Linked DNA regions of Mus musculus. The protein of the gene in region 2 interacts with the protein of the main gene of each other region in a biochemical or structural test. Links are inferred from orthologs where the notes say so. Each region holds a gene or a part of one and is shown on either strand. Other genes may lie near its edges.

Region 1 (6,175 bases), on a different chromosome or scaffold from region 2:
ACTCTGGTATGTGTAAGAAATTATGGCTAACCCCACACTGGGCAGAGAACCGTTCTTCCTTCTGCCAGAAGGTCCTGCACCCAGCCCTGAGATTCCCTGAAGGTGAATCACAAGGGTAGCTGAGGGAGGGGCATGCATGTGAGTAAGAAGATGCCAAGACTGTGGGGTCCCTGCCTTAAAAGGGAGTCGGGCACCTGAGGCCTTTCTACTGAATAAGGTCTCCGTGACCATCCTATTTAATTGGAATCAAGCCTTGGGCCTCTCCAACCCTTTGAGCAAGAGGAGCCTTGCCGTTGTTTTCTGGTGGCAGAGAAGCCCTCAGCTGTAACTAGCCACCCAGACCATGCATGCAGTTAGCTGAGATTATACAGCTCAGTTTAATACTAACAGTGGCAGGAAAACAAGACCAAAATGGCAAAGTCATCAAGGAAATGCCCAACCCTATGGGACAGCCTGCAGGGGCATCCATGGCATCTACCCCCAAGGAGTGTCACCAAATGAGGGCCCCAGAACACCAAGATGGGTTTTGGGGTAGTGACCACCCAAGAGCAATGGATGAGTGACACATGCCACCTGGAATTCATCCAATTTATTGTTTCCCTTTCCTCTAAGGAAGAAACTCAAAAGGTCTAGGGGCATGGGCCCTTGGGGCTTAGTTTCCCAAGCTTCCAGAGACTTCTGTCCCCCTCACATGAGTTTCAACCTTACCTTTGTATCTGTAGAGCCTTTCAGTTCAGTGGAAATCAGCAAAGGCCAGGCACATTTGGTATCCTAGGGTCTCCAGGGGCAAAACTTAAGGGAGCCTCAGTTCCACTAATACTAGACTCTATGTGGACAGACATGAACCCAAGACCCCATTGGCCCCTTAGGAGCATGCTGGTCCTGGAAGGTCAACAGATGACACAGCAGGGGCATGAGCATCTAGAGCCCAGTGAGGCCTTATGGCAATTTCCCTCTGTGCTGGGGAATTGTCCCTGTTCAACCAGAGCTAGTATAAAATGTGTGTGTGTGGGGGGGGGGGTGCTACTACTGTAGCACTCACAGCTCATTATTCCTCAATATTGAGAACAGAGTGTGACACATTGTGCCAGCTGCCTTTGATGTGGGACCCCAGCCTAGGACCACCCCCCCACAGACCCCCTGCACTCCTGCCCACAGCAGCCCTGAGTCACATCTCTCCCATAACAGGACGGGGGAGGGAAAAGTGTTAGGGTAGGCAGTCCCTATCAGGAATCACCTCTTCTTGTAGGACTGGGCCTTGGCCAAGGAGCCCCAACACCTTGGCTGCTTGGGCCCCTTAGTCCAGCCTTGAACCTTGCCGCCTGGTCACATAGATACCCAGATGCTGGACATACATAGGGTAAATAAAGGCAGACTGGGTGGGTCTGAGTGGAGGGCTCCCTTCCAGAGGGCACCTTGAGGAACTTGGTCAGTGCTGAGTTTCAGGCACCTTTTGGAGAAAGGCTGGTAGAAAGCTATGTGTGCTGTACTCAGAAAGTTTCCAAAATAGGATACCCACCACCCCTTCAATGACAGCAGAGCCCTCCCTCCCTAGCTCTCCAAGGAGCAAGAGTTGGCCTGGATAGGATCCTGAGGACCCAGCAGCCTCAGGAAATTCCTCTAGCTCCTCTTCTAGGACACTTGGTCACTTTTCATAGTGAGGGGAAACTAAGGCAGATGTAGTAGTTCCCCTACTTTTCTGGGGCAGAGACTTCAGAAGCCTCCTGCCTCCTGGAGCTGAACTGAGCATCCTCAAAGACAGAAGTTAACTGGGGCAGGGGCGGGGGGGGGCATCATCCAGACAAAAGAGCTTCCTCTTTTCTTTTCTTTTTCCCAACCCCCAGCCTTCATAAGTGGTTAGAAAAGATTTCGTTTAATCAGACTGAAAGAATGCGCGCCAGCGCACTCTGCACACAGTCTTGGAACTCCTTGACCTCTGCAGGACATCCTTTCAGCAGCGGAGACGGAGAGTCTTGCGGAAGACACTTCGAAACTCCGCGTTGAAGATGGTGTAGATGATGGGGTTGAGGGCACTGTTGACATAGCCTAGCCAGGTGACGGCACTGACCAGGCGCGGAGACACGAAGCAAGCCGGACACAGCGCCCGCGTGATGTGCACCACGAAGAAAGGCGTCCAACACACCAGGAAGGCCCCTGGGGATGGGCGGCGTGAGCCTGTACACCCGCACTCCAGGTCCCTCACCCAGGACCCCCCACTTTTCACCCTTCCAACCTGGACCCTCCCCCTGTCCCCGGCCTCAGCTCCCGGGACCCCTCCCTCCCTCCCTCCCTCCCTCTATCAACTCTTGTCCCAGGACAGGAACCCACCGACTACCACCGGCAGGACTCTCATTGCCTTGCGCTCCCTTCCCGTGATCTTGGCGCCTCTCCTTCTGCGGGAAGACGGCTCAGGAGGTTGCGGGAGAGCTGCATCAGCGAGCAGACACCCGGGGCTGCAGGGTCTCTGAGAGAGCTCTGACTCCGGCCTGCTGGAGTCGCTGGGGCTCGTCCGGAGGCTGGGTAAGGGAGGTGGGCAGTCTGGGAAGAAGGGACCCTGAGTAGGGTCCGACACCGGCGGGCCGGGGCCGCTGGGTCGGCGCGGCGCGCGGCTGTGAAGTTTGGTGTGCCGGGCTGCCTCCCAGCGCCGCAGGCCGCGGAAAGTGGCCCAGTAAAGCAGTAGCATGAGCGGACAGGGCAGGAAGAAGGAGCAGACGGACGAGTAGACCACATAGTCTCGGTTCTCCAGGCAGCACACGGCCGGATCGCGGCCGGGCACATCATTGAGGCCACACACCACTGGCGAAGCCACCGCGGCGGACAGCAGCCACGTGGCGGCGATGAGCAGCAGCTGGCACTGACCCTGCTGGTTGTAGCGCAGCGGCACGGTCACGGCCACGAACCTAGAGGAGCACAGGAGCGGTGAAGCTGCCGAGTGGGGCGGCTAACCCGGAGGTGGGACTGGGAGAGGGGTCGTCCGGGGTACCCACCTGTCCACGCTGATGGCGCACAGGTTGAAGATGGAGGCGGTGCACAGCATGACGTCCATGGCCATGAGCGTGTCACAGAGACGGGGGCTCAGGAGCCACACGCCACCCTGGACCTGGCCACGCAGAGTTTGCAGAAATGAAACACAAGACCTGCCTGACCTTTGAGCCGCGGACTTGCTGACCCCCACTCTTGTTGAGGGGAATCGAGGGCTGTGTATTAGAGGGAAGGGGGCATACAAGCCCGATGTGAGCCTGAGACATGTGTTGGAGACAGAACGTGCAAACAGACCTGCCTCTTGACTTAGGTCTTCTTTGGTTATGTGAGAAGCTTGGGTAAGACCCAGGGGGGTTGATAACATCTAGGGGAGAGGAGGCCCTAAATTCTTAAGCCTGGCCCCCTAAACACAAATCCTACCCACCTCCAAGACTCGAGTTATCCTCCCTGCATGAACTGTCACTGCTGTGGGGCTTTGGATAGGTCTCTTCACTTGCTGGACACATGGCAATTGTCCTGAGGACAAATGTGTCCTAAAAATACAAAGACCTCGCCGGGCTGTCTGTGAATCTGCTGCACGGAGTGTTCTTTTTCAAGGGCAAAGGAGCACACAGCCGTCTCAAACCAGCCGTCCCCAAATCCCTTCACACTGATTTGGGATGATTATGAGCTTAAGAATCATCACAGTGACGTCTGTGCCTTGGGGAGGACCTGGGGTCAAGTGTGGCCACTGGCCTCTGCTCCAGCTCCAGAACTCAGGGTCTTCTTTAGAAATACCATTCACCCCACCCCACCCTGCCCAAACCGTGGGCAGATAAGAATTGCCAGTAACCACAGCAGACCCACCTACGAGCCAGACCTGATCTGGGGTGTCTGTGTTCCAGGAGTCTCCAAAAGGTCCTGAACCCACTCCCTTTAGCGGCCCCTCAGGTTCAGTATCCTGCCCAGGCCTCTCTGCCTTCACCCTTTGCTGCTCCGAGCTCCTGGGAGCTGGGTGGCTGCAGGCTTTGGGCTTCTTCCGAAGGGTGAGAGTGAGCTGGCACAGGCTGGGGTGTGTGTGTGTGTGTGTGTGTGTGTGTGTGTGTGTGTGTGTGTGTGTTCCCAAAAGGCAGTAGTCATCGGTAGTGATGCTGATGCTGCGTGTCTGCACTTTCGCCTGTCTAGCTAGCTGTTTTTTGCCACAGGCTGGGGGATGCAGCATTTCTGCAGTGGAAGCCAGGGCTTAAATAGGAAGGACAATTTTCTGCGATTCTTGGTTTTAGGGACACGAGTCCTCTCTGGGTAGGTAGCTCTCAGACAGAGTAGGAAGGAATCCAGAGGATGGTAGGGTGACGGACAAGAGGAAAAGTAGGCGAAAGATTCTGAAGAGCGGGAGAGAGTGGATAGTCAGGAGTGAGGAGACCTGACGTCCCTGCAAACACCCTGGCTCAAGGTGGCTGAGGGTCCAAGCGCGAAACTGCGCTGGGGCTGGGGGGCTGGGAGCAGTGGAGGTAGGGGAAGAGCGCACCGAGGCTCACCTCGGAGTAGACAAAGAGAGGCAGCACCAGCACCGCGAGGAGGAGGTCGGCAGCAGCCAGGCTCACGATGAAGTAGTTGGTGGGTGTCTGCAGCGTGCGCTCGGAGGCCACGCTCACGCACACGAGCGAGTTCCCTGCCAACACCAAGCCGATGAGCAGCACGCCCCCCACCAGCGCCGCCGCGCCCGCGCCCCCAAGCCCGGCGCCAGTCCCCAGGGATTCTGGCCCACGCCCGGCCAACAGCCCACCGTCCTCAGTAGCGCTGCTGTTCCCCATGGTGCCACTGCTGAACCCGCTCCGGGAGGCGCTGAGCCTGGGGATTTGCAGGCAGGGGCTACCCGGAATCCCGCCCCCAGCGCGTCCAGCCCCGCCCCGCCCCGGCTTGAATTTCTGAACTCTAGGAAATTGGCAGAGGGAGAAATGCTTCAATTCAAGAGAAATGAGCGAAGTGACTGGCATAAAAAGGCTAAGCAGCGGCTGATGTGTCCCCTCATCGGGGCTAGTTTGTGCTTCCAGAAACCTAGGTAGAAAAGCAGGTTGTCTGGACCAGATTCGTCAGAGCCAGCCATCCCATCCTGGCCAGGAGACAGGCCACTAAATTACCTGTCAAAAGCGGCTCTCCAAGATACCTTGGAGGATGTGGAGAACCTATCTATACTCCTGCACTGGGGTCCTTCCCACGTGGGAAACCATCAGCTCTGGTTCTGGAACAGGTTAAAGGCTCCTCGCCTCTTTCACTAACGGTTCTGGGCTTAGCAATACTGAGCAGCACACCAAGCTCATTCTCTGTGGGCAGATGTGCAGCAACTCTTGGGATCCAGGCCTTGGCTGGCCCTACTTTTCTCACCATCTCTCTTCCCAAGTCTCCATCAGTCAGTGCTTAAGCGGACCATGGTGAAATTGATAATTGGCACCTCCAAGGCCCAGTCTTAACTTTTTATCTAATATATTATTATTAATTTTATTATTGTTGTTGTTGACTTTTCAAGGCAGGGTTTCCCTGCGTATGTCCTAGAACTTATTCTGTACAGCAGGCTAGCACTGAACTCAGATCCTTCGGCCTCCCCTCTGTCTCCGGAGTGCTGGAATTAAAGAGTGTGGACCACCATGTCTGGTTCAGCCTTAAGCCTTAACCATCCTCTGTGGGCCGCTGAGTGGTTACCCCACTTCCTATCTTGACCCTCAGCTTCCTTGCATTTGATACTGTATGGCACGCTGACTACCAGGGTTACCTGACAAGGACTCTCTGAGCTGAGAGAACTCTCACATGGGGGCTCTTTTCCCAAGCCACATCTGGAGGCCATACTTTTCTCTGTGCCAGCACAGGAACCTAGGCTGGAACAGGACAGCACAGGTTGAGAGGACACTGTAGAATCAGGACAGGAGAAGAGACAGCAGCAAGGACAGTCCCTGGAAGATTGGGAGCCCTTGCAGTGAAAGTACCTGGGGACTATGCTGATGAAAGAATTTTTGTATATGGGCTTACTAATGCTGAGAGAGATTACCTGGAGTCCTGTGACTAAAGGGCTATCTTCAAGTGGAGGTAGACTGTAGTTGGTATTTGCTACTTTGTGGGTTCTTCTCTCTCCCACCCTTTATCTCCCCTCCCCCTGTTACACCCCCTATCACTAGATGGGAGGAAAAGAAAGAGAGAGGGGAGGTGGGAGAGATCCCTT
Region 2 (7,997 bases):
TGTATCCCTTTAATCCTAGCACCTGGGAGGCAGAGGCAGGTGGACCTGTGGGTTCAAAGCTGGTCTGCTCTATAGGGCAAGTTTCAGGACAGCTAAGACTACATAAACAAACTCTGTCTTGAGAAGAAAAAAAAAAAAGAAAAAAAGACAGACAAACACATACATACACTCAAGTACATTTGTGTACACACACACACACACACACACACACACACACAAACATACACATACACACCCCACGTGGGTCTCAGGGACTGGAATCTGGTCCATGAGGTTGGATGGAAAGTATCTTTACTTATTGAACCAGCTTGCTGTCTGTCTGTCTGTCTCTCTCTCTCAAAGTAATTTTGGTTTTGGAGAAAACATCTCATATAGTTCCAAATAGCCTAAAACTCTGTATGTAGGCAAGGATGGTCTTAATCTCGTGGCTTTGTGTATATTAGGTAATCATCAGACCAACTGAGCTACATCCCCTACCCTTGTTTGGGTGAGACAGGGTCTCACCAGGAGGCCAGCCTTGAACTCCACTTCCCCACTGCTGGCATTACAGCCACGTGCTATCTCACCAGGCTAAGTTAACACCACACAGCCATTCATTAAATCCCCTCTCCCCTCATTGGAAGTCACCCTGAAATCTGTATCAGTAGCATACTCATTTTCTATAATTATTGATGATTTTTTTAAAGATATATTTATTTATTTTATGTATATAAGTACCCTGTTGCTTCAGACACACCAGAAGAGGGCATCAGATCCCATTACAGATGGTTGTGAGCCATCATGTGGTTGCTGGGAATTGAACTCAGGACCTTTGAAAGAGCAGTCAGTGCTCTTAACCTCTGAGCCATTTCTCCAGTCCCCAAAATTCTTTTTTGTTTTTGTTTCTGTTTTCGAGACAGGGTTTCTCTGTGTAGCCCTGGCTGTCCTGGAACTCACTTTGTAGACGAGGCTGGCCTCGAACTCAGAAATCCGACTGCCTCTGCCTCCCAAGTGCTGGGATTAAAGGCGTGCGCCACCACCGCCCAGCAATTATTGATGATCTGAAGGAGAAAGCCATCACATGTCTTATTCAGAGCTTACCTATTTGACTACCACATTATACAGATTCACTGGTTTACCAGACTTTTTTTTTTTTTCCTTCCTTGTTGAGTGGTTTCAGGTGGGTGTTATTCTGTAGCCCAGACTGGCCTCAAATTTATGGTGATCTTCCCACTGTCAGGACTGTTAAATGTGAGCAACTATATCTGGTTTCAAATTTCTATTTTATTTACTAAGCATTTGTTTGGAAGTTCTAACAGGGAAGACACGCCCCCCCCCAATACTTTTGACTTTTGACTGTGTGTTGGAAAAAAATCCCCATTGATTGAGCAGCCCCTTCAGAAGACACACGTGACAGTGACAGCAAGATTAACCATGGTGACCAATTGGCTGACAAATGCCATAGCTGAATCACCAACACATGCTATTTTGTCCCTTGAAATAAGAGGACTGCAAGGTTACAATGCGAATTTCACTTAGGTAGCAGTGACTTGCATTTACCTCACTAGTGAACATGGCACAGAAATAATCACTGCAGGCGGCCAGCACAATCCGATGCGCAGGGAAGTCTTTCTGCTCCACTCTCAAGGTCACATCACAGAGGGTGTTGCTCTTCCTGAGGGAGTTCATGGAGTTGAGGATGGACTTAGCGTGAGTGTTTGTCATTATGTCTTTAGGGGCCATAATGCCGCCCATCAAGCACTAAGGAGAAAGAACAAAGGAGTCCTTGGACAATGTGGCTACAAGGGAAAAAGATCATAATGAAGAAGTGGGAAACCAAACACACAATTAGTTCTACAAATTCAGGAACTAAAAGGGTTCCTTAACCACAACTTCCACAAATACAGAGCACTTTTGACCCTGGCACCACCACAATCTGGCCAACACCGACCCCAGTAAAGGTTACCTCTTCTTTCTCCAAACTTAACATTCTATATCTTTGGATTCAACCCAGTAAAGAGCAAAATATTAAAAACTAAAGAACTGATTTTGAACATGTGCAGATTTTTATCATTTTTCCTAGTGAATACTATCTTAGCGTTATTACGCTGTGATAAAACATCGTGACCAAAAAGCAACCTGGGAGGAAAGGGTTATTTGTCTTACATATCCTGAGTCACAGTCTAGTGACTGGAACAGAGATGGGAACTAATATTCCAGGAGATAAGGTAGGGATGATGCTACAGGGTCAGGGTAGCTTACTGACTTGCTCCTCATGGCTTGCTCAATTTCCTTCTCTCTCTCTCTTGCTCAATTTCCTTTTCTTTCTTTTCTTCCTTCCTTCCTTTCTACTTTCTTTTCTTTGTTTTGATTTTGGTTTTTTTCTTTTTGAGACAGGGTTTCTCTGTGTAGTCCTGGCTGTCCTGGAACTTACTCTGTAGACCAGGCTGGCTTGGAACAGAGATCTGATTCCCTTTGCCTTCCAAGAGCTGGGGCTAAAGGTGTGCATCACCACCAATCAGCTAGCTCAGTCTACTTTCTTACAGAGGCCTGCAGTCCATGAATGGCACAGTGAGAGAAGCCCCTCCCGACCAATCACTAATTTAAAAAATGCCCTACCAGCTTAACTGCTTGCAGCCCAATCTTCTGCAGGCATTATCTTAATCAAGGCTCTCTCCTCTCAGATGACCATAGCTTTTGTCACAGATATAAAACTAGCCAACACAAATACAGTAAATAACTGTACTGTTTTAGATGTGATAAGTAATCCAGAACTTGTCTTGATAGGGTATGTAAGTGGTATATGCAAATACTATGCATTTAACTCTACATGACTTCAGAGCCAGGTGTGGTGGTATATGCAAGCCAAGCATTCAGGAGACAAAGGTAGATTTCTGCAAGTTGGAGCTCACCCTGGTCTACATAATGAGCTCCAGGCCAGCCAGGGCTCCATAAAGAGACTTTTGTTTCAAAGAAACAAAGTAAACAAAGAAGACCAGCACACTCAGATTTTGGTATCTATGTTTTGTTTTGTTTTTGTTTTTGTTTTTTTTTTTTGAGACAAGGTTTCTCTGGGTAGCCCCAGCTATCCTGAATCTTACTCTGTAGACTGGGCTGGCCTTGAACTCACAGAGATCCACCTGCCTCAGATTCTCCCTGGGATTTTCCTCCTCAGAACACTTTCTAGGGGATGCAATGAAGGTGCTTATGAAAACTGTCCTTTGAGGATGCAAAACTTTCTAAAATGAACCAAAGAAAAAAGAAACTATTCATCTAAAGTCTACAATCCTAATTTCCTAAGATTAAAACTGAGATTCTACATTGTCATCTTTTGTTCAGTAGCTCCTTCAAAAGGACTCTGGACACTCCCCCCCCCCCCCAAACTCTGCAACATGTATTTAACCAAAAACTGAGACAACTTGCTAAAGTAAATGCTTTTTGTTTTTAAAAGGTTTGCTTAAGCTAACATAGTTTCAAACTATGAGATGCAAGAAACTGGGGATTTGCTGAATTCTCAGGAGCTGAAGATTATGAAGATTTCCTAGTGTTCTAGCACAAGGCCCAGCCTGTGATTAAACTTTAAGATTTGTTTCATAAATGACAGTAACCTCAGGGCTGCAACTTTCCTCCTAGCACAAAGCCTGACCATATATTCACCATTCAAAAACTACACATTCTAGAACAGCTAATATGTAAATAGAGGGGTTCCATTCTAAATCATTCTAGAAGGAAGAAAAAAGGCAATGAGAGAGAGAGAGAGAGAGAGAGAGAGAGAGAGAGAGAGAGAGAGAGAGAGAGAGAGAGAAAGGAGTTCTCCCCTAAGAACACCAAGCTTACCATCAAGTATTAGGGAGACCTAGGTAGGCAAGGAGTTAGATATGCGGTAATCATGGAAGCTGCAACAGTATCTTGGTAGCTGTGTCTCCCGGTTAAGCAGGGACTACACTAAGGTTCCCATGGTCAAAATCTGTAAAACTGTATTTGGGATGTTCCACCAAGGCAAACGATACTTAACAAATTGCCAAAACCGCGTTAAAGGGTCTGCATTCTCAAAAGGCACTGGCTTCATTACAATGTGTTGGAGTTTCCAAATCTCCCACCCCATACCTTGCTTTTTTTTTTTTTTTTCAAGATTGCTGGGGATAAATGCCTTACAAGAGGAGGTGAAGACCACTATAATTTGGGAGGGAAAGGGAATTATCTTACCTTCATGCATGAATATACCTTACACCTCACTAATATTCTTAAGAAACTTCTTTAAAACCCCAATGCGCTACTGCCTACCTTCGGAGGAAGCCCACTCCAATCTTTGGAGTGTGTAGCTTTACTAAATAAACGTCCCCTTACTGTTTCTCAGCTGAATTCTTTCCTCCCAGGTTAAACCTTCTCCCGGGGCAGGCGGCAGCTGCTCCGGAGAAGCCGAGAAGGCAGCGCTATGCCTGCAGCGCCCCAGCTCATCTCCTACCGACCCGGGCTGGGGGGGGTACCCGGGTTGGGGGAAGGCCGCGCCCCCGGCTGAGGGCAGAGGGAAAGGCCGTGTGTCAGGGCCGCGCTCACTCACCAGGGCTCCTGGGCCGTCCGAGCCGAGGTGCTAGGCGCCGGGCTCCCAGGCGGCTGAGCAGCCGGAGCGCCGCCGCTGCCGCCCGGACCAGCCGCTGCGGAGCAGTCTCCGTGGTAAACTCCAGTCTCGGAGTACGGCGACCGCGCGGCATGATGACGTCACGCCACGGGAGGGGCGGGCCTCTCCTGGGTTACGTCACCTTAGGAGGCCGAGCCAAGAAGTCCTGCTTACCTGAGAGCTCAGAAAAAGAGACCTGAGAGTGGGTAGACGGGTGGGTGGGGAGTGCCGCGTGTGACAGTGCGCTGGAGGCCAGAAGGACCCAAGACTGGCGGTCCCCACGCGGTATGGCAGGCGCTAGGCTGCGTTCCTGCCACACTCGGGAGACCCACGGGGTTTCAGAGTTCTCTAGGTCGGTTTCTGAAGAATCAGGCTCCGCTTCACCATAGGGAGGACTTTCCCATCCCGGATAACCACAGGGTCCTAAATGTGCCTGTCACCATGAGGCGATTGCTTCCTTCACTCCAAGGAAAAGGAACTTGTGGATTGACTGAGCCACCAGAAATGGGTCGCAGTAGGGGAAACTGCAAAGACCCTTCTCAAAGAAGACGCCACAGCCATCTCCTCTCCTCTGACTCACCATGGTCGTTCATTAGTGCTGCGGTTCTTAGGACGTTTGCTTTTCGTTGATTTTGACTTTTTGCCTTTGGCTGAGAAGGGAAAGATGTTTCTTGTTCCAGTATAGATGAATGACTAATTGGATTATCCAGTTTTCCTTTGCACGGCGTTTGGTTCTTAGGGATAGTAAAGTGTAGTCAAGAGGGCAGCGTCTTCGTTTTACATAGTGTTTTCTTCGTGTCATAGCTTCTTGATCCCAAACTGTTCCTGACATTTAAATATGGTGGACAGAGTGCAGAATTGATAGAAAATGTTGAGGGCACTCTGGAAATAGTTGTTAAAATGATCAATGTAGATCTATTTTGTCTAGGTTTTGTAGTGTAGTCATCAGACTTCAGGGCAGGAATGCTTCCCCACCAAATCTGGACCCAGAACTACTACAGCAGATGAACTTAAGGTAGCTAGAACAGAAGCTAACGATCTTGGGCACCAGGCACATACATGGTGCTCATGTATACATGTAGGCAAACCATTTATGCACATAAAATCTTAAAATTACAAAACATATCTACTGGTTCTCCTGGTCTTCTCTGGCTACTTCTGCTTTTATATATGCATTTCCCCTAGTAACATCTTTGCCCTTTTTCTTTCATCTAGGCAAATGCTTTCCTGATGAGCAGAAAAACACACAAATTCTTTAAGAATTTCTGTGAGAGCTAGACATTACACGTGCATACCCACACTTGGGAGACTAAAGCAGGAGAGAACAAATTCAAGGGGAGAAAACAATAACAACTAAAGCTGAAAATGTGGCTGGCATGTGAAAGGCCCAAGACAGGTGAAGGTCAGAGGGTTGAGAGTTTCTTTGTTTTTGTTTTTAAGATTTTATTTATTTTATGTATATGAGTACATCTTTTAAGCAAGTAAATATGAATTAGTGTGGTTTGAAACCAAGAAAGGTTAAAGTGTACTTGCACACGTATGGATATTCTTGGAGCCATAAGAGAGAAAAATGGCCTAAAGAGGAGGTTGTGTGCATTCCAGGGGTGAGATGAGGGAAGGAAGGAGAAAATAGGACAGCGAGGAGGCACAGACAGGAAGGCAGACAGAAAAGTATCAAGGAAAACTTGGAGAAAGTTGCTACATAGATGTATTGGATAACAACCAGATCCAAGTGGAAAGATACAATATGTAAAAACAGTTTTGTGGCCAGGCATACTAACTAAGGTTTGTATTTCCAGCATTCAAGAAGCAGAAGGATGCGATTTGAGGCAAACCTGGACCTATTTAATGAGCAACAGACCAGCCAGACCCAGTTGTAAAATGTCAACAGTAAAAAGCTCTTTTCTCAGTGTTAACTGTGGAAAAAAAAGGGAGGGGGGAGCTATTAGTTCGTTGTTGTGTGGTGGAAGGTTTTCACCAGTTAGTGGTGGTGCATACCTTTAATTCCAGAGGCAGAAACAGGCAGATAGCTGAGTTTGAGGCCAGCCTGGTCTACAGAGTGAGTTCCAGGATAGCCAGGGCTACATAGAGAAACCCTACTTCAAACAAGAAGAAAGAACAAAAGAGAGGGGGAGGAGGGGAAAGGAAGGGGAAAGGAAAGGGAAAGGAAAGGGAAAAAGGGGAGGGAAGGGAAAAAGGGAAGGGAAGGGAAAAAGGGAAGGGAAGGGGAAAAGGGAAGGGAAGGGAAAAAGGGAAGGGAAGGGGAAAAGGGAAGGGAAGGGAAGGAAAAAAGGAAAGAATTTGAGGGTACTTGATCCTCCCAGGTGACTGGGCTGTACATTCGAAAGACCTTTGTCAGTAGCTTATCCAAGATAGAATGACAATTACCAAGAAAACTGACAAGCAGGCTGGGGAAAAATGCTCGGGCCACCAGAGCTACACAGAGCTTGGTTTTTGGTTTTGTTTTTTGTTTTTTTTTGGGGGGGGGTTGTTTGTTTCTTGTTTTTTAAAAAAATCCTAATGTTGTAGCGAAAGAGAATGCTCATGGTGATTAGGGTGGGAGAGACCTTTGTCTCAAAAAAAATACATACAGAGGAAAAAAGATTTTATTTATTTTATGTATGTATATGAGTACACTGTAGCTGTACAGAGGGTTGTGAGCCTTCATGTGGTTGTTGGGAAATGAATTTTTTAGGACCTCTGCTCGCTCAAATTGGTCCCTCTCGCTCCAGTCAACTCCCTCAGTCCCTGCTCTCTCTGGCCCAAAGATTTATTTATTATTATAAATAAGTACACTGTAGCTGTCTTCAGATGCACCAGAAGAGGACATCAGATTTCATTATGGGTGGTTGTGAGCCACCATGTGGTTGCTGGGATTTGAACTCAGGACCTTCAGAAGAGCAGTTAGTGCTCTTACCCGCTGAGCCATCTCGCCAGCCCTTCTTTGGGTCTTAACCATTTATTTTAGTTACTAATGCTTCTGATGGAATGCAGGAGCTTGTCCTCTGTTAGGGAAACGGGCCCTTGGTGAAAACTACAAATTGTTCCCATAGATTGCCATAGAAGCAGAGGCTAGTGTTAAAAGATTAAGAGTCGGTCCGGTGTGGTGGTGCACACCTTTAATCCCAGCACTTGGGAGGCAGAGGCAGGCGGATTTCTGAGTTCGAGGCCAGCCTAGTCTACAAAGTGAGTTCCAGGACAGCCAGGGCCAGGGCTATACAGAGAAACCCTGTCTCAAAACAAAACAAAACAAAACAAAAACAAACAAAAAAAAAGGCTTAAGAATTATGTTGGCAGAGCCCAGAGCACAGAGGAAAATGAAAAACAGGCTTGTAGCTGGGACGATGCAGGCAAGCTAAACATAACCAGAAGGACAGGGCTCTGGGCCTGTCAAGGGAAG

Evidence for each region.
Region 1: of the proteins of Klhl12 (region 2) and Drd4, one has a biochemical effect on the other in vitro, tested with the Homo sapiens proteins (2 studies listed by BioGRID, with this or other methods). The link is inferred for Mus musculus from reciprocal best matches to the Homo sapiens genes KLHL12 and DRD4.

What each region holds. Positions count from the first base shown.
Region 1 is NC_000073.6:141,290,638-141,296,812, reverse strand, and holds Drd4 (D(4) dopamine receptor), read right to left. Parts: upstream 4,796-6,175; 5' UTR 4,776-4,795; coding exon 4,500-4,775; intron 4,490-4,499; exon of another isoform or gene 3,407-4,489; intron 3,101-3,406; coding exon 2,988-3,100; intron 2,901-2,987; coding exon 2,329-2,900; intron 2,155-2,328; coding exon 1,952-2,154; 3' UTR 349-1,951; downstream 1-348. UniProt on the Homo sapiens protein: Dopamine receptor responsible for neuronal signaling in the mesolimbic system of the brain, an area of the brain that regulates emotion and complex behavior.
Region 2 is NC_000067.6:134,452,209-134,460,205, reverse strand, and holds the start of Klhl12 (kelch-like protein 12), read right to left. Parts: upstream 4,676-7,997; 5' UTR 4,541-4,675; intron 1,779-4,540; exon of another isoform or gene 1,741-1,778; 5' UTR 1,735-1,740; coding exon 1,540-1,734; intron 1-1,539. UniProt on the Homo sapiens protein: Substrate-specific adapter of a BCR (BTB-CUL3-RBX1) E3 ubiquitin ligase complex that acts as a negative regulator of Wnt signaling pathway and ER-Golgi transport.